Neodiprion lecontei: one gene and its partners. The protein of the gene in region 2 purifies or fractionates together with the protein of the main gene of each other region. This does not show direct contact. Links are inferred from orthologs where the notes say so. Each region holds a gene or a part of one and is shown on either strand. Other genes may lie near its edges. The genes, in order: DNA-directed RNA polymerase III subunit RPC3, DNA-directed RNA polymerase III subunit RPC8, DNA-directed RNA polymerase III subunit RPC4 and DNA-directed RNA polymerase III subunit RPC2.

The links.
Region 1: the proteins of DNA-directed RNA polymerase III subunit RPC8 (region 2) and DNA-directed RNA polymerase III subunit RPC3 purify together in Homo sapiens (affinity purification with mass spectrometry; 5 studies listed by BioGRID and IntAct, with this or other methods). This does not show direct contact. The link is inferred for Neodiprion lecontei from reciprocal best matches to the Homo sapiens genes POLR3H and POLR3C.
Region 3: the proteins of DNA-directed RNA polymerase III subunit RPC8 (region 2) and DNA-directed RNA polymerase III subunit RPC4 purify together in Homo sapiens (affinity purification with mass spectrometry; 6 studies listed by BioGRID and IntAct, counting the BioPlex papers as one, with this or other methods). This does not show direct contact. The link is inferred for Neodiprion lecontei from reciprocal best matches to the Homo sapiens genes POLR3H and POLR3D.
Region 4: the proteins of DNA-directed RNA polymerase III subunit RPC8 (region 2) and DNA-directed RNA polymerase III subunit RPC2 purify together in Homo sapiens (affinity purification with mass spectrometry; 8 studies listed by BioGRID and IntAct, with this or other methods). This does not show direct contact. The link is inferred for Neodiprion lecontei from reciprocal best matches to the Homo sapiens genes POLR3H and POLR3B.

The regions. Positions count from the first base shown.
Region 1 is NC_060265.1:6,940,911-6,945,675, reverse strand, and holds DNA-directed RNA polymerase III subunit RPC3, read right to left. Parts: upstream 3,219-4,765; 5' UTR 2,962-3,218; coding exon 2,815-2,961; intron 2,717-2,814; coding exon 2,598-2,716; intron 2,509-2,597; coding exon 2,378-2,508; intron 2,286-2,377; coding exon 2,030-2,285; intron 1,718-2,029; coding exon 1,509-1,717; intron 1,367-1,508; coding exon 1,213-1,366; intron 1,146-1,212; coding exon 785-1,145; intron 692-784; coding exon 551-691; 3' UTR 535-550; downstream 1-534. UniProt on the Homo sapiens protein: DNA-dependent RNA polymerase catalyzes the transcription of DNA into RNA using the four ribonucleoside triphosphates as substrates.
Region 2 is NC_060262.1:18,917,759-18,925,005, forward strand, and holds DNA-directed RNA polymerase III subunit RPC8, read right to left. Parts: upstream 5,249-7,247; 5' UTR 5,107-5,248; coding exon 4,996-5,106; intron 4,753-4,995; coding exon 4,569-4,752; intron 4,162-4,568; exon of another isoform or gene 3,021-4,161; coding exon 2,880-3,020; exon of another isoform or gene 2,401-2,879; coding exon 2,276-2,400; exon of another isoform or gene 1,227-2,275; coding exon 1,173-1,226; 3' UTR 508-1,172; downstream 1-507.
Region 3 is NC_060260.1:24,686,188-24,692,621, reverse strand, and holds DNA-directed RNA polymerase III subunit RPC4, read right to left. Parts: upstream 4,633-6,434; 5' UTR 4,609-4,632; intron 3,519-4,608; exon of another isoform or gene 3,204-3,518; intron 2,990-3,203; 5' UTR 2,988-2,989; coding exon 2,746-2,987; intron 2,675-2,745; coding exon 2,563-2,674; intron 2,478-2,562; coding exon 2,216-2,477; intron 2,123-2,215; coding exon 2,024-2,122; intron 1,722-2,023; coding exon 1,600-1,721; intron 1,501-1,599; coding exon 1,255-1,500; intron 1,166-1,254; coding exon 1,046-1,165; 3' UTR 543-1,045; downstream 1-542. Other genes in the region: serine/arginine repetitive matrix protein 1, read left to right, coding at 1-184. UniProt on the Homo sapiens protein: DNA-dependent RNA polymerase catalyzes the transcription of DNA into RNA using the four ribonucleoside triphosphates as substrates.
Region 4 is NC_060260.1:21,914,737-21,919,497, reverse strand, and holds the start of DNA-directed RNA polymerase III subunit RPC2, read right to left. Parts: upstream 3,020-4,761; 5' UTR 2,922-3,019; coding exon 2,844-2,921; intron 2,356-2,843; coding exon 2,201-2,355; intron 1-2,200. UniProt on the Homo sapiens protein: Catalytic core component of RNA polymerase III (Pol III), a DNA-dependent RNA polymerase which synthesizes small non-coding RNAs using the four ribonucleoside triphosphates as substrates.

The DNA of each region.
Region 1 (4,765 bases), on a different chromosome or scaffold from region 2:
TATCGGTTGTCGTAAATTATTTTTATTACCTTTTTACTTCAGTTATTGGCCAAAGTTTTTCTGCAATAATATGTCTGTGCGCGCAATATGATGTGTCTGCTCGTGATGCAATAATGTAACGATTCCGAGATTTGGCGAAAAACAAACGGTACGTAAACGAAACTATAGCGTATAAGTCTTGAAATTTATGAAGTCACTAAACTTCTTGGTTATTTATAAAACGAACAGTTGAACAGTTATATTTATTTTCTCACACTTACTTGAAACTTACCAGCGTTCTTGTTCATTTATTTACATCGCTTTGATCTACAGTATAATGTATTTATATGTTTATGAGCATTTCATTGGGTTGGAATCTTATTTGAACGCCCTTACAAACAAAAAAATATTTGGATCCCGAGAATGCCATCGAAGCACTCCTAGTTTTCTCTATGTTACCAATGGTAGTCATCTTTCGAGATTCTCTTGGATCGCCGAGGTCACTGGCTTTATGAAATTTGTTCATTATTCTTGTCTCATTGTCAAACAACGTGATTGAATATCAAAGTTTTTATTTTTCTTGATACCGTGAATACATTGTCAACAAAAATAACGTTTCATCTATCTGTAGTTCGCTGGCACCAAGTTTTTTAATTATGTCTTGTACTTTGCCCAGTTCTAACTTTTCAGACGGGGTCATCATTTCCGCTATCTGTAAATATAACGGGAAACAAATCAATTTCAGCTTAATAAGCATTCCTTAAAATCGGGTTAAAGACTTAATTATATCTATCAAAATACCGACATCGTTTAACTGTTCTTCTGTGGCCCCATGTTCCTTCAAGTTACTGGTGAGCGTTTGTACCCGCAAGTGTTTCTCAATCATCCTCTTATTCACCGTGTTTTCGTGATCCCGCCGCTGTATGGTATTATAAAGAGCATGATAGCAGTGACTTATTTCCATTCCGACAACCTGATCAAGGTCTATGTGAAAAAGGAAGAATATTTTTGTCGGGGCATTCGAAACCGTCGTCTTCTTTAATTCTTGTACATGGATATAATTCTCCTGCAGCAACGTGTACGTTAAATGCTTAGCTTCCTTAGCAGGTATCATCGCCAACTGCTGGATCTGTTCCTGCTCGACGTATTTTCTTGTACGTACCAATCTGCGACAGAACATCTTATTACTTACACGTTATATGAGTGCTGTTTGGTAATATGTTGAATACTGACCTAAATATTCTTGCAGCCTTTGATCCGAATCGTTCAAGGACAATATTCTCCAGAGTAGTCCACGTTAACTGTGTGAAAGCTTGTTTCATGTTTATGCTAAACTGTCCACCTCCGCTATCTCCAACCCTTTTTAAAAACTGGCAAGTATCTTCCTCTGCAATTACACGATTTCATTTTTTTTTCTTTTCATTTAATATCTCTGGAATTAGAGATTCAAGATTCTGAAGATATAATGCTATTTGAATGGTCGTTGTCAGTGACTGATATCAGGTCAATAATCAAAATAATTTACTGACCAATAAGGCACAAATATTGATCTAGGTGTTGAATTAACATGGGATATTTCAACTTTCTAACTGCATCCTTTATTTCCACGTAAGGTATAGGATTTGACGTTGCCCTCCACTCAGCTGTGCGCAAGTACATTAGATTCAGCATTTGCCTCATTAGCTCTCCGGCATTATCATCAAAACGCTTAGTGATAGCAGAGACCATGATTTGATCCCTGAAATGTAATATACCACGATAAAGTATGAGGTTGAAGTTCTTAGCGTTATCGTAACAACGCAGTTTCATAAAAACTCGTTATTTTGCAATATTGAAATTTTCTGGAATTTAATAAACCATAATACAGACGGACAAACTTGTATTTGGTAAATTGAACTCCGTCAGTTGATATGAAGCTGTGAAATGTGGACGTTTATTTCAACATTTGGTTACTCTAACATTACTAACTTCAGTCTCATTAGAAAGTTAATGAATGCAAATGACTTTATTCATGCAAGTTGATAATTTCTCGCGGTTTTTGAATTGTTACCTGATATCTTGAGTGAATCTGTCGAAATTAATGCGCCAATATATATTATTGTCTCCAGGGTTTGCTGCGATGCCATTGGCCATTCGAGAAAGTGCCAGGAGATTAAGATCTGGGAAACTAAAGTCAAGCTTTTCTACGTTTAAATCTATAGGGTCCTCTAGAGCAGCTGGCGTAATAATGGAACGCATTAAAAATTGATGCTTGACCAGTGACTCAAATTTTTCTTTCAATATTTCCACCGGTTGTTGGCGGTCACCTGATGATTTGACAAAAATTACAGAATTTACATGTACATATGGCAATCAAACAACGAAGAGTTGAATAAATCTTTTAAAAACAATCGCTCACTCGATAGTTGCTTCAGTCTTTGGTAAGTTTTGACTATTATTTTCGAAGCTGTTTCGTAGCCTCGTCTTAATAGCTCTTCTAGCATAATTTCAGCTTCGTCACCCAGCAGACTTTTGACGAAAAACATGTACCTTGAAGGAAGTTTAGTTTGAGAAGAATAACAGGACAATAAATCGAATATAACTTGCAGCTATTTTAATCAAAGCATTGAGCACGATACCTTGGATATCGCAGGATCATCAAAATTCGCTCGTGAACAATAATATATTCGTTGAGTTTATCATTTTTGCTGTGTTCAACAAATCCATACTTTATAAGAACGCACATCACCTCCTTGATCTGTATATAAATAGAAGAGTTTAGATTAATGGGATAAGATTTAATTCCAATTAATACGTTCTTTCTTTCCAAATTATCTGAAATTGACGAAGCCGTACTTTGTTAAGCGGCAGATTTACAGCTGCTTTTATAGCTCGTAGTGACCTCCGATCGTATTTCAGTAAATCGTCACCCACAGTTTGCACGACAGGTCCAAAATGTTCCAGCAATAAAACGGAACATAATTTACAAAGGTAGATTGACATGTTTCACACATTAAATACAGTATTTGACATAAACTTGAGGTATAAACACGGGTCTAACCTCAAACATAACTTAGCTTTACCTAAATTCACTCTAAATAAATCGGAATGTTTTGAGGTTACAATGAGCGTCGACTGAAAGTAGCCGAATTTTGGGTCATGAACAACTTCAAGGCTGCCAACATCATGCAGCACTAGCCTAGTCTCGAAAAACTCTAGGGTGTATTCCGAAATATACTTTCGGTACTGCCGACCGTGACGTCACGCAGTCAACTGCGAACTGCTTTCCGATTTTACTCCGAATTGCCAGTCGCAGTAAAATCTGAACGCTACTTTCCAACTACACCGAGAACGTGGCCATCTCTCAAGTACTTCAACTACCTCACGTCCCAGCCGCAGTAGCGTCAAGAACGTCACAAATTTGGTGACGTCACTGACTGGCGGCAGTACGCTATCGCGTGATTTCGGAACGCGATTGCCAGTACGTGCAGAACTGCCACAGACATATATGTCTATGAGTACTGCAAGTATATTTCGGAATACACTCCTAGTTAATGTGTGACTAACATTGTCTGATAGAGCCTCGAGTTTAAACAGAATTTGATCACGAAAATAGAGTTAGACGCAACATCAGCTTTGATTAAAGATATATACAGACACACAGCTCTGAGTTATTTTTTGTAGCAATTGGGCGGGTTTAGGCAGGTTTGGGGGTATTAGCAGTTTCACGTATTATCAACGTTGACTAAAGAATATGAAGACGGATACCCCTGGGTAAATTTTGGTGAACAGTTTTCGGTGGGCGAGTGGGCCCAGGTGGACCTGGGAGCGTAAGAGGGTTCTGCTCTATCAACTCTACCTAACGGGCACGCGCCAACATTCGTAGCAGCCAAAGCAGTGTAGATGTGATAGCGTGAGAATGAGTCGGTACAAAGTTAGTACGTAAGACTACTTGTCCACTGCGACTAAGAAATGTCGATCAGCTCGATCATCCCCGTGACAAGAAGCGTGGAGCATCCACCGCCAAACACCCCCAACTGCCACCGATTACCTCGCACCATTTCCGAACACCTCCTACCACCCCCTGCCACCTCCTGCCGGCGTCAACCACCGCCTACCATTTCCGAACACCTCCAACCACCTCCTAACACCTCCTACGTTGACTGAAAAATATGTAGACAGTTGCCCCAATGGGATTTGATGTGACAACCGAAAATCATCGTGCGCTTGCGCTCCCTGAGATGTTTCAATTGTAGAGTTGAGAACTTATTGCAGATCATCGGAGAGTTAACGATTTCGATATGATGCTGGCCGTATGCTGGGTGCATTCACTTTCCGAGTAACACAGTCTTCGCAATCATCATCCAACTATCGCAGAACGACTGCGTTATTAGCTGACCCGTTAACTGAAGGATATATCTTCAGTCAACGGCGGACCATCGAAGGGCCTGGCCGCTTGAGTCTGGAATCGGCAGGAGAGATGAAGTGTGTATTTCTTGTATGAAACGTGAAGACTAAAAGCATTATACATCATATCATATCATCATACATCATACATCATACATCGTACATCATACATCATCATACATAGTATCAAAGTTCGAAACCATAGTTTGGATGTCGGACGTTCAGAAAGTGACGTCACCAATTCAAAATCAGCTAGCCGAATTCCTCAGTCGGGACACAACCGCGCAGTAGAGCGGACGCATGAGAGTCGCGCTCCGCAAATTTCGAGTACCGGGTTCTCAACCTCACGGATCCCGCGCTTCGGGTCCGCTACGTATTTCGAGTACCGGGTTCTCAACCT
Region 2 (7,247 bases):
ATTTCCCCAAGTAGATCATTAACGAAAACGATCGTATAATATCTACCGAGACGAAACGCCTAAACTTAAGGTGGTATTCTAGTCTAGAACTTTGAAAAAATCGATTTTTTCCCGTGATCTGATACTATGAATTATGGAGAATCAGTGGGTGAAGGATTTTTTCAAAATTCGGCAAATTGGTGACGTTATACCAATTCTAAGCACCGCACTTCACGATAGGAACGCAGATGCGTGCTTCTTCTCAGTCTTAAATCTTGAATCTTGGTACGAGTCCACTTAGTTTGTCCTTTGGGTATTTCAAATCTTAGTTTGGTCTCAGATAACCCATGTCCTCAAAATTTGCGACTCGGGATAATAATTTGAAAATATTCTGTATAATAAAAATTGATAATTATTAAATTTATCCAATTATTAAAACAATAAATTTAATGTTGATTGTGGTTTTAGTTTAATCAATTGGGATGTGCTCAGTCAATAGTGATAGTAAGGCAACAGATAATACTCAGAAACTGTGGAGATTTTTTTTTATTTATAATTATATACCTATATAAGTATATTGACATATAATTTTATGCTATGTTATTACAACTTATACATTGTAAAACAATTGGTAAACCGTATTTGTAAAATTATTTATTTTGACAAACTTACTCTACTCCAAGTCTTCTGTCGTATTGGCATGTTATGTACGCACCAAGTTAGGTAAATACTAAATGAACTGCTATTACAACAGTAATTATAATAAGTGAATAATTTTACTGGATGGCTTATTTGGAGTAAATGGAAATTTTGTGACAACGTAAGAAGCGAATGACAGTTAGCTGCTGGGAAAGTAATAGTATTTGAATATTGAAAATATTTTACGCGTGAAAATATACATTTAAGATAACAAAGAACGTAATAATTGTAAATACCGAAGAGAAAAGGAAATTAATTAAATTTGCAATTTCGTTATGATTCTAAAACGAAACCGATGTGTGTTGTGTTACTTCGTGATGTTTTGCTGATGAAATAATTTGTCGTACGGATAATAAAGAAGATGCTAAGAATAGTAGAACGAGATATTAGGTAAAATAAAAGTATTGTACAAATTGCCTCGTCTCATGGTATACAAACCCTCATTTTATATCACAATTATGAATCGTCCATCCTATACATTCCTCTTTGAACTTTCAACTATTTTCCCACCAAGAGAGAAGTCCAAGGCCTGGCTCATCTATGGCAGCCTGTAATGATCGAATTTATGCATGTTAATGTCTTTCTTCAGGAAAAAAGTTTTAGGATCGTGATTCAACGAAAATAACTTCTTATAAAACTTCCAGTATTGTATAGTACTTTTTAGGTCAATGTGCGAAAAAAATTACATATATATGACAGATTAATAAACCATAAGCTGAATTATTTCAGGTTATTTGATTAAGATTATTTCCACAAGAGACATTATCGTGTATTAATTGTGAATTCAAGGTGAACGATGTTTCTTTAAAACCGTGTAAAATCATACAGAAATCACACGACTCATTTAAGTACGTTTTTGTAGAAATACTTTGATAAATGCACGGTTAGTCTAATTCTAGCACAGTTTTATGAAGAAAAAAATCGCAGTATCATAAAAAATTGCAGGGTACTTCTGACTCTCGATAACTTCTTCCTGGATAATTTTCCGCTTATCGTTAAACTGCCTTCTCTATGAACGGGCTCCACGTATAGAAATAAATTTATCTAGAGACTGAGGAAAAACTAATACCAAGGCTAAAAATTTTATGATTTTGTAAAAATCTATTTCTTATAGTATTCGACATTTTTTGAACTCAAAATATAGAAGTAATGAATAACGTGAAGAAAGTATCATCCATTTTAGGTTTATTAAGTTTTTCCTATTAAAACTTTTATTTTATGGAACTTTTTTATGATGAATTTCGATTCATTTCTGAAGCATTTCTTTTTGCGTGAAAATCCTGTCCGTTTCGTCCCATTTTCTCGCCATCATTCGGGTTTCCCCAAATGCATTGCCTGCACCGCGGTTACAGTAGACTAATCAGGATGAAAATAGCCTTCGTAATATTGTCCCCCTCAAAGTAGACCGAGAATAAGAAGTTATGGAAAGTTTACTGTACGGAAAAAAGTCTGCGCAGATTTTCCTTTTCCGGCATAGTTGACGAAATCGCCCATGGCCAGATAATTAGATGGTTCCTACCAGTTATTGTATGACCAGCAATTTTTTACGTAACGACAGGTGTGATTTGACTCATTTATTTAAACAAAATATACGTACGCTGAGAGTGTATGGCGAAGTTAAATTCACTTCAGATTTTTCAACAGTTTCGGTGCTAACAGACGGACCAACGGGTGATGTTTCAATAAAAGTTTCATTCACGATTCTAAACCGTATACTTTCACCTGAAAAAATCAATAGAGGTATTATTTGTACTTTGTATTTCGATAATAAATCATAAATATTCCACGTAAAGTTGCACTTATGATATATATAGCGTGCTCTACGGGGATATTTTTACGTAAATAAAGTATGTTTCATTCTACCTATAAATAAGTACAGGTACTCTTAAAATGGACCTAGGTACAAGTAGAAGGTACTTGCTAAGGAATGTACTTAGGTATAAAAGAGGTACTTGTTCCTAGATACTTTACAACACTCTCGATATTCCAGTGTTCTTGGAACATATCATTTTCCTCAGAGCTATGGTTAGAGCGGAAAATCGATATCAAAAAGGTGAAACTGATTCATAATATTTTTCTGTGTACGTTTTAATAGCATCGATCATATTACTTCAGTAACCACTGAGGGAAGATCATCGAGTAAGGATCACACTGACAAGGGTAGATTATACTAGACCTTAATGGATTGACGTAAATCTTACCAGCATCCATAAATAAGTCATGCTTATCTCCATCTCCAGTATCATATTCCCAAACCCATGCTTGCTCAGTTTGATCAAATCTTGAAGGATGTTGTAGCTTATGAGGAGGGATAATTATGTCTTCAAAAAATCCCAAAGTGACTAAATAATAAAAATATTTGTACAACAATATATTAATAGAATTCATGTTGCACAGCGTGAAAAAGAATGGATGTAATTTGCTGTGACATTTTACTACTAGATCTATTGGTTTCAATGTAGCATGAGGGTGAATAATTTTTCATTGATAAAGCGTCAAAAAATCGTAGAAACATTAAAGAATAAATGTAAAAAAAAAATACTGGTTCTGTCTGGAAATACGGTTTAAAATACTTCTAGGACTTATAATGGAACTCTCTCTTCATTTCACAATTCTTTGAATCTAATTAATAATACCCAACTGTTCACAGTTTTGCGAGGATCTTCCATGTTTTGAATGTACAAAATTACAAGTTCTAATTTTAATTTTCTCAACTACAGGATTATAAGCTGATAGTATTAGTTGTTTCGAGCATATCGTGAAAGGCTTGCCACGTGAAAATGTAAACACTCCAATGGGAGCACCAAGCGTAGATTTAGTCATAATACCTTCCTTGAAATATTGAAAATGAAGAAGTACAGCAAGCATAATTATAGAATGGAATCACGATCACGTCGAGAACATATCAAAAACAACAAATCGTAATCAAATCTTGCCAGGAAAACGATAGATAATAAAGAGACTAGGTAAATCATGTATGTTGTGCAAAGAAAAATTATTTATTTATTTGACAGACACTGAGGTCTCCTACAAAATTGCCCATGAATTATACATCGGCTCAGCAGTGTAAAAGTAAAAAGACATATAGGTCATGGTTCTGGTTTGCTAGGGAAGTAATTTCATGAATTATTGGAAGATCAGCCTGAATCGAGACATAAGATAAATGTTGTGTTACACCTGCAGTTGCATATTAAGTATAATATGTGCAGTACGGTACAGCAGAAAAAAAAATTATGGAAATACTTTATGTCAACATCCTTACAAAAAGTTTGGTTTTCGACGCATGTTTAACGTGTAGAAAGTCGTTAATTTTTAAGTTGTACAGGAATAATATTTGTGTTATAAGTGTGGGATTGGGCGATTTTCAATGAGTCGGAAGGTTGCAAACCGGATTTAGTAGAAAAAAAATTATCTTAGCAGTGATGTACTGGAAGACTTCTTAGTTTGATTACCATCTTCCATTTCAATATCGCAAGTTGATTTGAAAAAAAAAATTCAACAGCCAAAAACTCGATAATACCAAGTACTTTAGCTGACTTACTTAAAATTTAGAACAGAAAATAAACTTGAGGTAAAGATATACTGATGGACTTTTTGAATCCAAGATACATTCCAATTTCAGCAATCTCAACACAGGTATTTCAACTACATATGTGCTAATGATTCTGTTTCATTTATTCAAATGATTTAAATTAATTGAAATCTCAATTTCCAAGTTCGAAGCCTCGTCTTTAATCACGAGTGATAACATATACTTAATTCATTTGTGTCACGATTTAGAGTTACTTATTTTTCGACAAAACTATCATACTTTAAAAGAAGATATGCAATTATTGGAAACTCAGTAATTTCGGGACGTTTCCCAGACTTGGATGAATTAAAATATTTACCATGTACACCATCAGCACTGCAGCTCCGAATCTTTCCAACAAGAATCTCTTCAACGAATGGTCTGAACACGATAAAGCGAAAGGTCACTTTTGTGTGAGAAGAACCATCTCCAGGAAAAATGTAAGAATCTTCAATACGAGTCATATCATGTAAAGCAATACACAGGCCCACGTTGTGATATACCTGAAATTAACGATACCATATTAATACAGTTAGTAGACGTTAGGAATCAACAGTCAATTTGGTTCCTTTAATTTTATTAACCTAATAATCTGTTCACTGTTTACTGTAAAACATTTCAGTAAAATAATCGTGTTATAAGAAGAACATAAAGCCCACAATATACCAGGAATTTGTTTATCTGCTTTACAAATTTGTACTTCAGTAGAAGATCGATTAGATTGTAATTTCCAAGAATTCACCTACCTTATTAGCTAGTTTTCTGTTCAGCTCATCAGCAATAGCATCGTTCAATTTTCGCTTAAACATCCACGGACGAATTCGAACATTGTCTTCAAATTCGGCAAGTACAAACATCTTGGCGTCGAACTCCTGAGTTCAACTCACATAACCTATTTTTGTTTTGTTATTGACCACCAAGGCGCGTCCATGGAACTCGTCTTTTCTCCATGCTTGAAAAGAAACGGGTAAAACCACGGTCTTGCATACTGGCTGGAAACTCCATTGGGGGGGGGGGGGCAGATCGCTTATTGAAGCCATTTTTGTGTTCACTAGTAGTCGCCACCAGGTTCGTTGCGATCTTGGCCGTGATCGAAAATTGACTGCCAGTACTGTCAGCAATCTTTTATCTCTTTTGCGCTGCTGAGTTCATGGACAGCTCTGTCTCTGTCCTAGGGAATTTTTAGTACTGGCAGTCAATTTACGAACACGAGGGGGGGGGGTCCACACAAGCCGTGGATTCGCACATATACATATATGCTATTCACCCACTCATCGTGGGTATGTTCCGATATACACTGCGAGCACTGTTCAGTGCTCTTACTGGGGAGAAATTCGTTCCGTTATAGACGGACAGTATACAGTCGCAGTATCCTAGGGAAATATATGACGTCATAAATCGTCGCCATTTTTCTACTGTGAACACCGGTGCTTTCGAGGTAAGGTGCTCTCAGTGCTTTGATCACGTGATCAACAGCGTTCAGAAATTTAACAGCTTCCACTATTGATAATTATTATTAATGAATATTGACATTTAAAAATACCGGCCGTTAAAAACAAAAATGGAAAATTTGAATAAATTGTGTTTATTGCAATGTGAAACAAATATTATGTATGAAATGAAAGTAACGCCAAAAAATGTCGATCACAGTATACTGTACTGCGTTCCGTTTTAAGCAGTATCCAGTATAGCTAACTATACAGGAACGGCTTCGCAGTATACTAAATTGACGACACACCTTACAGTGCTCGCAGTGTATATCGGAACATACCCCGTATTTATTGAGGTTATTCTTATCCTGGTAACTAGACCGCAGCGACAACTGGTAGTCCCGCTAGAATAGAGATTTTCTCTTGGTAAAGCGACGCGAATAATCGTGGCTCCCAGCATAGGGGTTTCAGACCTGTATGTAAGACCGTGGGGTAGAATATTATTGATGATGTGGCGGTTAACTGAAGAATATAAAGACAGTTGCCCAAATGAGCTTAGGTGTGACAACCAAAAATCGTCGAGCGCTTGCGCCCTCTGAGATGTTCCAACGGTAGAGTTGAGAACTTATTGCAGAACATCAAAGAGTTACCGATTTCGACATGATGCCGGCTGCATTCATCTTCCGAGTAACACTGTCTTCGCAATGGCAAGCCGAAGCCAGTACTTGGCCTGTGTGTACTTACCGACTTGTCGGTAATACAAGAGATTAATAATGAGAATGAATTTCTTCCAAAATTCTAGCAGCGCATTGATTTAATTGAAGTATAGGTATCCGAGAGAAGAATTTATACATAGATCATGAATAATAATAGATCAGATGTAATAATGATGCAGACAGCAAGAAGTATTATGCGGTCCACGTACGATATTAATACAGGATGTCCCTAAATTGGGGACACGGACCAGCCAGCGTGATACCTGACTCAAATCCAACCGAGAATTTCTTTGCCGCAAGCTCGTCCGACGCATAGTTTTTGAATTATAAGCGATAGCGTTAGGCCAATCAGAGTGCACCATTTCATCTGGATTTGCCGCCACGAAAATTGCTGTTTTGTTCGTCTGGGTGAATTATTATTATTCGTTTACGAATTAAATATCGGCACCACCCCTCTCGCCCTGTTGTACCGATTCACGACCGCTGACCTCGGTATTGTTGCCGCGGCACACGTTGCCGGCCGCACACCCGAGGACGCACACTCGTGTGGGTGAAAATAAGCGAATGCCCAGCTACACAATACTACGAAACACACATCTACGAGTGAAAATAAAAATAAATTTCCAGATAAATCAGCGGATTTAAGATTTAATGTTATAAAATACTTCCAATCATCGATGTATGCATAAAACTAGAGATTTTAGACGATTGATATGCCGTTAGAGTTCATAATTAGTCATTCAATCAATCTGAATTATGCTTTCCGAAAATTTTTTGTGTCTTTGCAACATAATTTTTCCACTAGTTTTAACTTCATCATTGACATCCGATTTTTCAATAATGCGAGGGAAA
Region 3 (6,434 bases), on a different chromosome or scaffold from region 2:
GAAAGATAAAAAGCACAAAAAACACAAAAAGCATAAGAAACATCGTAAGCATAAAAAAAAGAAGGCTGTAGAGTCTGAAGAATCGGATGCAAGTGAGGGGAACACGGAAGAACTCGAAAAAAAACTACGCGAAAAAGCCTTGAAATCTATGAAGAAAGGACACAGTATTGAACAAAGTGACTAAATGGATTGTGCGTAATTCATGCAAGATAATGTCAGAGAAGTTGGCGTATTTCAAATAATTATAGGCTGTTATTTCTTAGGTTGGCTATGCCAAAGTAACGATTCACCCGATCCAACAAACAAAACTGATAATTAACGGTTTTGTATTTTAACAGACTGCGGTTGCAATTTTTGAGGCAACTTCTTTGATATTACCATTAAAAAATAATTTGGTATTTATAAAAAAAAAGTACCATAAAAAACTAAAACTAAAACTTACAATAGTTGATTGTATCTATGCTAGTAATTTTACAACTCGTTTTTTGTTGTAATTCTCATGCAATCAGAAATTCAAACTAGAGGTAAAAGTTTTTTTTACGTTTCTGATTGCCAAAAAGTGTTCATACCATGCAGTGTGAAATAATCAATTAATTTGTAAATTAAGTTGACATGTGAAAGGATGTGTGACAATCGAAGAGCATACCTAACATTGTGAAATCGTATGAATCGCGTGTCCGTGAAATAAAAACTGTTTCAACTAAGAAAAACTTGTAACTTTTTTTCCACGTTTAAATACATAAATATCATATTATCACTAGAAATTTTAGTTGAGATGTGAAATAATTAACTTAATAATACAAGGAAAAAATTTACGGGGCCTCAATTTTATCACCCAATGTTTCCGCACTATATTTTATGAGTTTTTTTTTTATGGAATATGATTTTCATGAACTTGCGATTTTTTTAAAGAGTACTTCAATTGCGATATCCCACGCAAGAGAGGGCTTCGAATTTCAGATTTCGTTTAATTTTTACAACAGCCAGAATAATATCTAGTACAATTAATAAGTTAAAACAATTGAAATTTGCTTTTCTCATAAGTTCAAAGATTATCTAACATTGATTCCCAGTCGGGTAAGCAAATAAGGGTACTGCTGACTGAGCCAAGGTTAATAAGTTCGCCTTCAAGTTTTTCAAGGTCCAATTTGGCAGCGATTAGATCCTGAAACAAAAGAAAAGTTTCAACAAATGCACGCCTTTACCCACATGATGACGTTGATAAGATCACAGAATTTTTTCACTTGAACTTACTTGTCTGAAACTGATGTGCGAGCCCACATCTACAATTAATTTGTTATCCCCTAAAACAAGTCTCGCTTGTCCAGATTTTAGTATTTGTAATTTCCCTAGCATTCCTTCCTTCAAGTTTTTCAGCGTACAGTATTCAGTCTTGGGATTGATATCACTAGGATTTGCTGAACCTAAATCGGTTGTTCTTCTCGCTTTTGGATCACTCAATTCATCATCTGTTTTAAGTCCAGGTAGGCAATCGGGAAACTGTAAAGTACAACGTATAATTTACGCCACAGGATAAGGTTCAGTCCAAGGCATATCTGTGCAAAGTGAAAAAAAAAAAAAAAATTTCATCGGTTGTACCTGTAGTAAAATGTAATTATTTGCTTCGTTTGCAACAATTTGTGGAATAGTGATAAGTTTTTTCTCCTCTGTTAGCGATTTCTTCGGTAACGAAGTTTTTGCTGTGTTATGTTCTTCTGATACTGGAAAGAATGGAAAATTTTAAGAATTAATTATTATTGCAACGTTTCGTAATGAATGACAGTAATCATGCACGACATAATTTTTTTTCCTCTTAGAAGATTATTTGTTTCAATACTGAAAAAATTTGAAGTACTTCAATCAGTCCAAATTTTATGATTAAGAAATTAATTAATTTAAGAACTTTAAAATTTGATGATTCAAATCGATGTGCAGTCCGTAAGTATTTTACTTCTGCCATTTGTTTGAAGATTTTTTATTCCATAGATCTGGAAACTCCTACAAAATAATTTTTGTGACGTACCTTTTCCGTTTTCTAAGATTACTGGTTTCACATCTTCATCTAATCCATCAGCCTTTATTACTTGGGGTTCTTCCTTGAATTCTTTCTTGTATAACTGTGCTGGAATGATAAATGAACAAAAAAAAAGTGACAGAAGTTTAGTTGTCTCATCAAACTTGCATGAAGGCTAATTAAAATAGGTTTGATACTGACCATCATCAGCCATAGGTAGCATCACTGGTGCATTTTCCATATCTGGTACAGCTCCATTTTCGATAAAATCATCTCGAAGCAGGTGCTTGAGTTTCTCTTCTTCTTCAGCTTTATCAATCTTCTGGTTTAAATTTAATTTTTGTTTTTCTAAAACAGTACTGGCACTTCGATTGCCGCTCAAATTGCTACCATCTCTGTAACTACTGAATCTTTTTTTGGCTCGTGAAGAATCTGCTATACCACTGGAGAATACTCCGTCAGTCTGCAAAGAGTACATATATACAAAAAATCAACCATGAATGTTTGAACACTGTAATCCAACTTCTGATTAACAAAGATAACCTAACCTGGATAATGTTATCCGAGACTTTTCCTTTGCCTCTACCTCTTGTACTTTGTCCTCTTCCGCGGCCTCTTTCTCTTGGAACTTTAGTATTATTTTTTACAGTAGTGTGATCACTGCAAAGTAAAACAGATTACTACATCTATGATGCCTTGATAACAATAGTATAAATGTGATTCCTGCTTACTCTTTAGCTTTATTTCGTTGTACGTTCAAGTTTGGAGTATACAGTTTTTTTGGTTTTTCTAGTTTCACATGCCCGCCTAGTGTCCAATCTCGTGGCGATCTAAATGAAGTAAGCCTCGTAGAAGGTAGTCCAGCCTCAATTTTCACATTTGTTAACACCGTTGATCCTGATGTACCCGGTTCTACTTTGATCTTTATTTTTGGATCCAGTTCTCTGCTGTTTTTTGATTTATCCGAGTCCATTTCTAAAGGAAATCCAATTAAAAGTCAGTCATGAACCTGGATAACAGTTCAGTTTATATAAAACTAGAAAACAAAGAAATAAAAGCAGTCAAGCAGTTTTATGGCATGACGAGTAAATCTACGCTGATAGTACTAGAGAATTTCAGTAAATTTAGTTAATTTAATTGCTAAATTAACTGACATTCTCTCACGCTATTAATCCAAGATACAAGTTACCTGAAAAATAATATTAATCGATTGCGTTTTCACTCAAATAGCCGTTTGCGATAGTAACATATCCTTACTCAAGCTAACCTAAAATTGGATATAACGTGTATTCGGCGTGTTGACTCGGACTGGTTCAAAATCCAATGCTGATCTGTTTACCAAATATAGTGATGTACTGCCGTTATGTTATAATAGAAAATATTTAAGTCTGCGACAGTTGAAATTAGCCACTGTCCACTAGAATAGTTTATTTGTTTAGACTTATTGTTAGGCCAGGCGTCTGTGGGGCACGTGTGCATACGTACAGTTGCCTACACATGTGTGTTGTATACCGACCGAGCGGACGAATGTTGATTGGCCTGTCGTCCTCCAATCGGAACATGGACGATCTGTCATTTTTTAACGAGTGCGAAATTTACAAACTGTCCTTACGCTTTGACACGCTAGAGATAAAAGAGATTTACAACTTCTTAATGATATCAGTTCGAAGTAAACGAAGTTCTGCGCTTAATGGGAGTACAGAATTATTTCGATTGAGTTCGCTCGATTTATGGTTATTATCACTGTATTATCATTCTGAAATATGCGCAATAATTATTGGCAAATGATTTTTATATGCTTCTGAAATACAAGGGTGCTGCAATACTTCTTTCGCAATCGTGTACATTCCAGTAATCTACGATCTTTAAACTTATTTAATGGTTTAAATATAAATTTTCCGTATGGAAAACATATCTACATCGAACATAGTTTATTTTTCCAAATGTAGTTTTTAAACGTACTAAAATTAATCTTGCTGAAAATAATATCAAGTACTTGACCTCACAACAAAATAAATATTTTACGAGTTAACAATTAAGTAGAACTCATTGTTTCACTTTGGGTTCTTAGTAAACTTATGTCTCTAACTGCGAGGGCTTGATTTTTCATCGGTGACTTAAGTTGCTATTGGTTTCATTGTGTAGGAAAAATTGGAATAGTTTACTACAGAAAGTAAAAAGGACAGGTGCGTTTGGTTTGTTGCATACTGTATTTGATGGGATGGTTTTTGAACTTTGCAGAATTGTCGAAGCTGATCTAATATCAATACTTTTACACAGTGTATGCTTTACACTCCATTGGCAAACAAAAGTTCAATATACCTGCGCATTGACAAAATTAATCTTTATTCACACGGCTATGCGATTCAAAAAATTTGCATTGTAATTTGAAAAATATGTTTCTATTACTAGGCCTGGTTTCAATTTATTCGTAGTACATAGTAGAATATTTCTTTCCTGAAGCAATTTACTGGCATAAAATATCGAAGACTCAATGAAAAATTGATGTAGTATAATTATTTTCGTTCTCCTACCAACTGCATGCTTTTCCATTATTTTTGAAATCGTATTTCACACAAGTCAGTATAACTTACCTCGATTCTATTTTTCAAATTATACCCTCAGGACGTGACCTTTCTTGCTTCGCTGGTAATACTTTTATATAATACACATATATATTGCATTGGAGGATCTATGTCCAGGTTGGCTGTTATATGATATATTAGCTCGGCAAAGGTCGGCAACGAGATTCAAGTTGAGTGGATATTGGATAGTGGATACTGGCTGTATATGTCTACCAACTGCAGGTTATCTTATGCATGCATTGTAAACAATGCAGAATGAGAAAAATGAGAAATATTATTACCCCGTCTCCGGTGTTATGGAACTTGAAAGATAATTCTCTGCGCCACCGCGCGAAACGTGCAGCGTTATCTAATTTGAAGTATTCTTCGTGGTCTGTATACATAGCACGTGTGTATACGTGTACAGTAGTTTGTATACCTATAATCATGTAAGCCATGCTTTTGCATGCGCATTCCTGACGTGCGGACGGTAATACATATTACAATATATCGCTGGCCTAATCGTTAAAACAAAGGTGTGACGGGTTCCGTGTGAAGTTACAAGAATATATCAAACTTCTAAGGAATAGTCTTGCAGCATTGAGTGCGATACGATCGAGCAGCGTCTCTGGTCCATGCGACAGTTATTTGACGACTGTTTTGAAATCCATTATATCGGGTGTTGACATACTTACCGTAAAACTTTGGAATGCTTTTTCTCAAATTTTTCAAATTTTCAGAGGTGAAATTCCGTTATTGCAATTGACTGTGTCTATAATTGTAAACTCAGATCATTCGGGTGACTTACATTCGATTCTTACCTCAGAATTTCAAAATTTGGAAAGGTGGATGCAAAATTCTCAGATTACAGAATAAACCTTAGTATACGGTATATTTGCATCCGAGTTTCTAGGATTTCGCAGACACTGTGGTAATTAAATTTCATGACTAAAATGCATACGTTTTCGTGCTACGAGAAATTGTAATACCGGTTTTATTCCAGTCGTCCTGTTGTTCATATTACTCAAGTTTTATTACGTTCCAAAATTCAAATCAGAAACTAACGGTTGCTTATGTAACAATAACACGAGTTTACAACAATCTAACTATCAGATTTTAAGTCCAACGCCAACACGATTGCGGAATTGATTAACAATCGTTTCTGAATAAGAATGACGTTCTGTATGAAAATTTTCGTTATTCCTAATTTGAACTTATACTCGATGAATTTTTTATTCTTATTAAAAGACACATGATAGAAATTCAGTCGGTGATCCCGCATTACGCGATCATCAGCTACAGGTTTCAGGGGACTGCGTCTGTGTAGCGGAAATATAACAAGTGACTCTAGACAAGAAAAATGACGAACGTTAATCTCAGCGTTATATGTATATCTATATAGGTATGTATATATATATATATGTCTATTTATATCATCAGTAGCCGTGAAAAGTTGACTTGCAATAAATCACACGTGATCGTGATGCGCTGCAGTAATATAGGGCATGTGAAGCGAACGCCCTTCCGCACGTTTCTATTCGTAATAAAAATAATCGGTACGTACGTACGTGATATATAACCGGCCGTGAATTTGTCGAGAGGAATGAAAAAGAAAAAAGATCGGACGTAAAGAGCTGCGATATAGAGTGTCGAGGATCCAGATGAGTTGGCCCCTCGCTATTCTATCACGCGTCTATAGAGTCCCCTCGGAGTCCTGAAAACCAATTCGACCCTCTAGCTCCGTGGCCGATCGTTTTGTCTACGATCAGCGACACGGATCCACCAGCTATAATAAAACGAACGTAGCGACAATCGGCGTCGCCTGTCCCACCAGGGACTCCATTTTCCACCCGTGT
Region 4 (4,761 bases), on a different chromosome or scaffold from region 2:
GATGTCAACTTTTTTATATTAAGCACATAAAGATTTCCATCTTATCGGCATTAAAAAAATAACAATTACAATGAAATAACAATTACAACGAGAGAAATGCATTTGAAATTAAATAATAATATAAATTTATGGCACATGTAATACATATAGCCAGAAATCTAGACGTAAAAAAGGTGTTTTTTTTTATATTAGCAAAAAAAAACAACAAACAAATCAGTATTTTTAACTGCTGGCACTTGGGTATTAGCATTGAGGAGTAAAATCTGAGGCCTATGCGACCTAGAAGCGGCTCGGAAAGGACAGAACAATCAAAATTGGCTAAATATTGTTATGCCAATGTACAGTCACAAAATTCTATGATTAAAGCTAATCAACACTTACCTTGTAATTTGCGATTTGTTTCTTTGCTTTTTTTTTGTCATACAATTTCTTTTGTTGACACTCTGTTGTTTGATACTCTTCGATTCACTGTATAGGTCCGGACTGAAATTAAGTAATGCTCTCGAAGCAAACTGCGATGTGGCACCGTGCCGTATGCCGAGTGAGTTTATGCATGTTCATTCTCGCTCGAGTGTTGTCGATTGACAATCATACAATGTATGAAATGTACCAAGATATAATATTTCTTGACCAAAAATATTCGCTTGATAAAATTCTAATATACCTTCACATAAATACTTTTTCTCATATTTATGTTCATTCCGTACACTGCATGTAGATTGCCATTGAGTTAATATATTAGGTGTATAAATTAATTCTCGGCCTTTTTTCAACAATTTTGACATTTATTTATAAAAAAATGAATACAGATCTAATCTTCAAAATAATCGCCGTCACTTTGCACGCATTTTTTCCATTTATCGGGCAATTGTCGGATCCCGGCTCGAAAGAAAGATGGTGGTTTTGACTGGATGAAGTCGTCAATGCTCTGACGGACTTCCTCAGGAGATTGAAACTGGGTATCCACCAGGTGATGTTGTAGCGCCCGAAAAAGGTAATAGTCAGAAGGTGCAAGGTCTGGAGAATACGCCGCATGAGGGAGAATTTCCCAGCCCAACGTGAAGGTAACTTTCAGGGTTTCTTTTGCTGTGTATGGCCGCACGTTGTCCTGCAGCAAAATCACTTGCCTTGGTCCACTACCGCTGAAGGGTTTTTTTTCCTCGATAGCATCGCTCAATTTCATCAGTTGCACCTGATAACGCTTAGCAGTAATGGTTTCCCCTGGTTTGATTGTCTCATAATACATTACACCTTTGAAATCCCACCAATTACACAACAACAATTTTGGCCCGTGGATGTTTGGTTTTGCAGTGCTCGTTGTCGGCTCCCCCGAATAAACCCACGACTTTCGTCTCTTAGGATTATCGTACAATATCCACTTTTCATCCCCAGCCACAATTTTATGTAAAAAGTCTTTTTGTTTGAATCTGGTCAGCAGGCTCATTGGAATTTCACAGCGTCGACTTTTGTTTGCTGGGGTAAGATCATGGGGCACCCAACGCTCTTCCTTTTGTATCCTCTCGAGTTTTCGAGCAAGCTCCATTTGCGTTTGGTAAGGATTTTCGTTGAGTAGGTTCTCCAACTCCTCGTCCTCAACCTTTTATGGCTTTTCAGGATGATCTTCATCTTGGAGATCAAAATTTCCATCCCGAAACTTTGAAACCATGTTTTACATGTGCTATAAGATACAGCACTCTCTCCCAAGGCCGAACAAATCATTTCTTGTGATTTCTTGTAAGTTGGAAGACGAAAAGAAGGCAGTGCCTCAAGTGCTGCTTGTCGAACGACATCTTTGTTTACTATGTTTTTTGAGGTTAGATTAATCGGACCACAATCGGACTAAGTGGTTTGATAGCTCATAGATGGCGCCTCAAAACGCCCTATATAACGGAAAAATTTTTCGATTCAAATAGGTGTAAAATCAATTTAATCTAGGGGCCGAGAATTAATTTATACACCTAGTATAATATTTCGTATATATGATTTTCATGTGAAATGACTCGAGTAAGCACTTTCATTATTAGACCTAAGTCAAAATTTTATGCATGTTCAATTTGATGAAAAAATTCCATATTGCTATTTGAAATTCCCATATATTTCTCACATTTTCAAGGGCATTTTCAAATTCCCGGTTTTCCAGGAAGTCGGCGTCGCTAGACATCCTGTATTATACACGATTTTGATAAGTCATACTACTTACTTGACGTAGAACAAGGAATCAGCATCACTTAATACTTTCTCATTTGCCTTGACGATTTTTTTTATCTCAACATTAATGAAATAATTGAACGAATCAATGTGTTGCTTAACGAGGCCTTTGCCTTTGAGGAATGCAGGGACGAGCTTCCACTTATCCTACAACATCAAACAAGTTATATTGACATAATAAGTAACAGGCAAAGTCTGGCTTTTTAAGGATTGCACTAGAGTTCTAAGTGATGAATAACTGATTTCTTGGTTAAGGATTTTCATTTCTTGCGACTAGTGCGAATTTCACCCCATATTTTCCTAAGCAGATACATTCAAGATTTATAAAAACTTTCAATTTTTTTGGCACATATTTGAAAATGTTTAATATAAAGTTCTAGAAATATGGTAAATTTGTTGAAATTTCAGAACAAAATATACATAATCGAGTCATTAATAACAGTGTTTGACCGTAAGTTGCCTCTGCCTGGAATTCGGAGATTGTTGAGTAATAAAATCTTGAAAATAACCCGATTAAAATCGTTTATTTATACCCGCCCGGTATGCGTAGTGCATTTGTAGTTTTGCATTATTAGGCGAGGTAGGATTACATCAAATCAAGTTATAACCTACAAATATTTGAGATGGTACTTTACCTCGATATGTTTGGCTACTTTTCTGAATTTTTCAGCTCTTTTGAGACTGTTGTAATCATTCGATTTCATTTCACCCATTTTATCGCTGTTCTATCGTTATAATTTTACGTGTTAATATAAAGACATCGCAAACCAAAGCACAACCGAAAATTGGACACAATCTACCAAGGACCACGCTTTGGCCATACTAACGACAACCGTTCATTACCCGGCCGCCCGGCCCCAGAAGTGTATGGACGGTAGAGATAAGGAGAACCGTCTCTGTGTACGAAAAAGCTTGCGTCGAAAGATGTCAACTGAAGATGGCGTTACGGTAGCAGAAGGGTATATTTTGAAGAAAGCAACAAAAGATATTTGAGTTGGATAGAGAAGTAAACAAGGAAAGAAAGATTTCCGCTTTGTTATGGTACATTTTTCAAAATAAACATTAATAAAGAAAGCAACATTTTTAAGCGCTCAATGATTCGATAAATATTAAATGGAAGATGATATTGAAATGGAGAAACGTTGACATAAATTTTGTTTTTTGATAAACTAATTTCCAAAAATAAAAGAAGTTCATGTGCAAAATTTGAGAGAACTACATGTGCAAATTTTACATACTATTGGTCGGAAAAAAGACAGAGACTGAGGCGCATCATTCTTTTTATTTTTCATTTTTCGTGCACTTGGACAACTTTTCACTATGCAAACTTTACCTATTATTGACCAAACTTTAAAAAATTTTATAACAGTACACACTACAAAATCACTAAAAAGTATGATCAACAATTCACAAAAATTAAATCACTCTCCACGTTATCTCACAGCAGTTTTATGGGTTATATTCACTAAATTATTTTGGGCTACGTAAATAGTTGAGGTTTTGTATACTGTGATTTCATTAACTACATTAGTCACCAAAAATATTGAATTGTTCAACTCAGCTCACTTCACTCCGATTACAACTGCTAAATTCATGTCATATCCTTTAGCTGCGCTAGCGCTATTTTGGTGGGTTCTTGAACTGTTACTTGCAGCTTACAGCTGGACACTTTTTCAACTTGTCTCCCACATAAGTCGATTCTCCTTACTTCTACCCTCCAGACCTAGAAGAGATGCAAATAGAAGCGTCATTGACCACCGAACTCTAATATAACTGGAAGGCTCGCTGCAATGGTAAGGGATAGGACTGGCTTTCAGCCGAGTGAGAGGTATCAAATAAGACCACTCTCTCACTCGCTCCGTGTACAGCATTCCAAAAAAAAGCTTGTCCTCTTATTTTCACAACCTACATACACATTCTATTTGAATCTCTTTACGAATTCTTGCATTATCTTATGTTTGGGAAAAGTTTACCAATTTTTTTTTACATAAGATATTGATATATTGGATAGAGATTTCGTAATAATTAAATTAGGAAAAATTAAAGCAGGGACTGGTTTCTTTCAAAATACTTACAGACTTCCTCAAGTCGAAATACTTGCACAAAGAATGTAACATTACCACCAGGTATAAAGAATTGATTACATTTAGTCACACAGCAACCTCGCACCAGTTTTTAACATAATAATTTTTCAAACTTAACAATAAAATAAAATCCTTGGTTGTTCACAATGACATAATAGAGTTCAGTATGGTTTAGTAGGACTAGGATATCGCGGTGGTGTGACGTCGGAAAGGTACCTAGTGGAAATCTCCAGATGTAAGACACCGGAAACATTCACACACAGCTACAGCTAGACTCACATCAGTAGTTTGGGTCACCAATTACCGATTAATTATTGAAATACACCGGGCAACGGGCATTCTGTCGCTCTAATCGAACGAACCGAAGGAGGAGTAATTGTTGGATAAAAGATTTAATTAATTGGCTTACCTTTTTGAGAATATTCTGGATGTGATGACTTGCAGCGTAGATTGGTGAGAGGATTTAGCG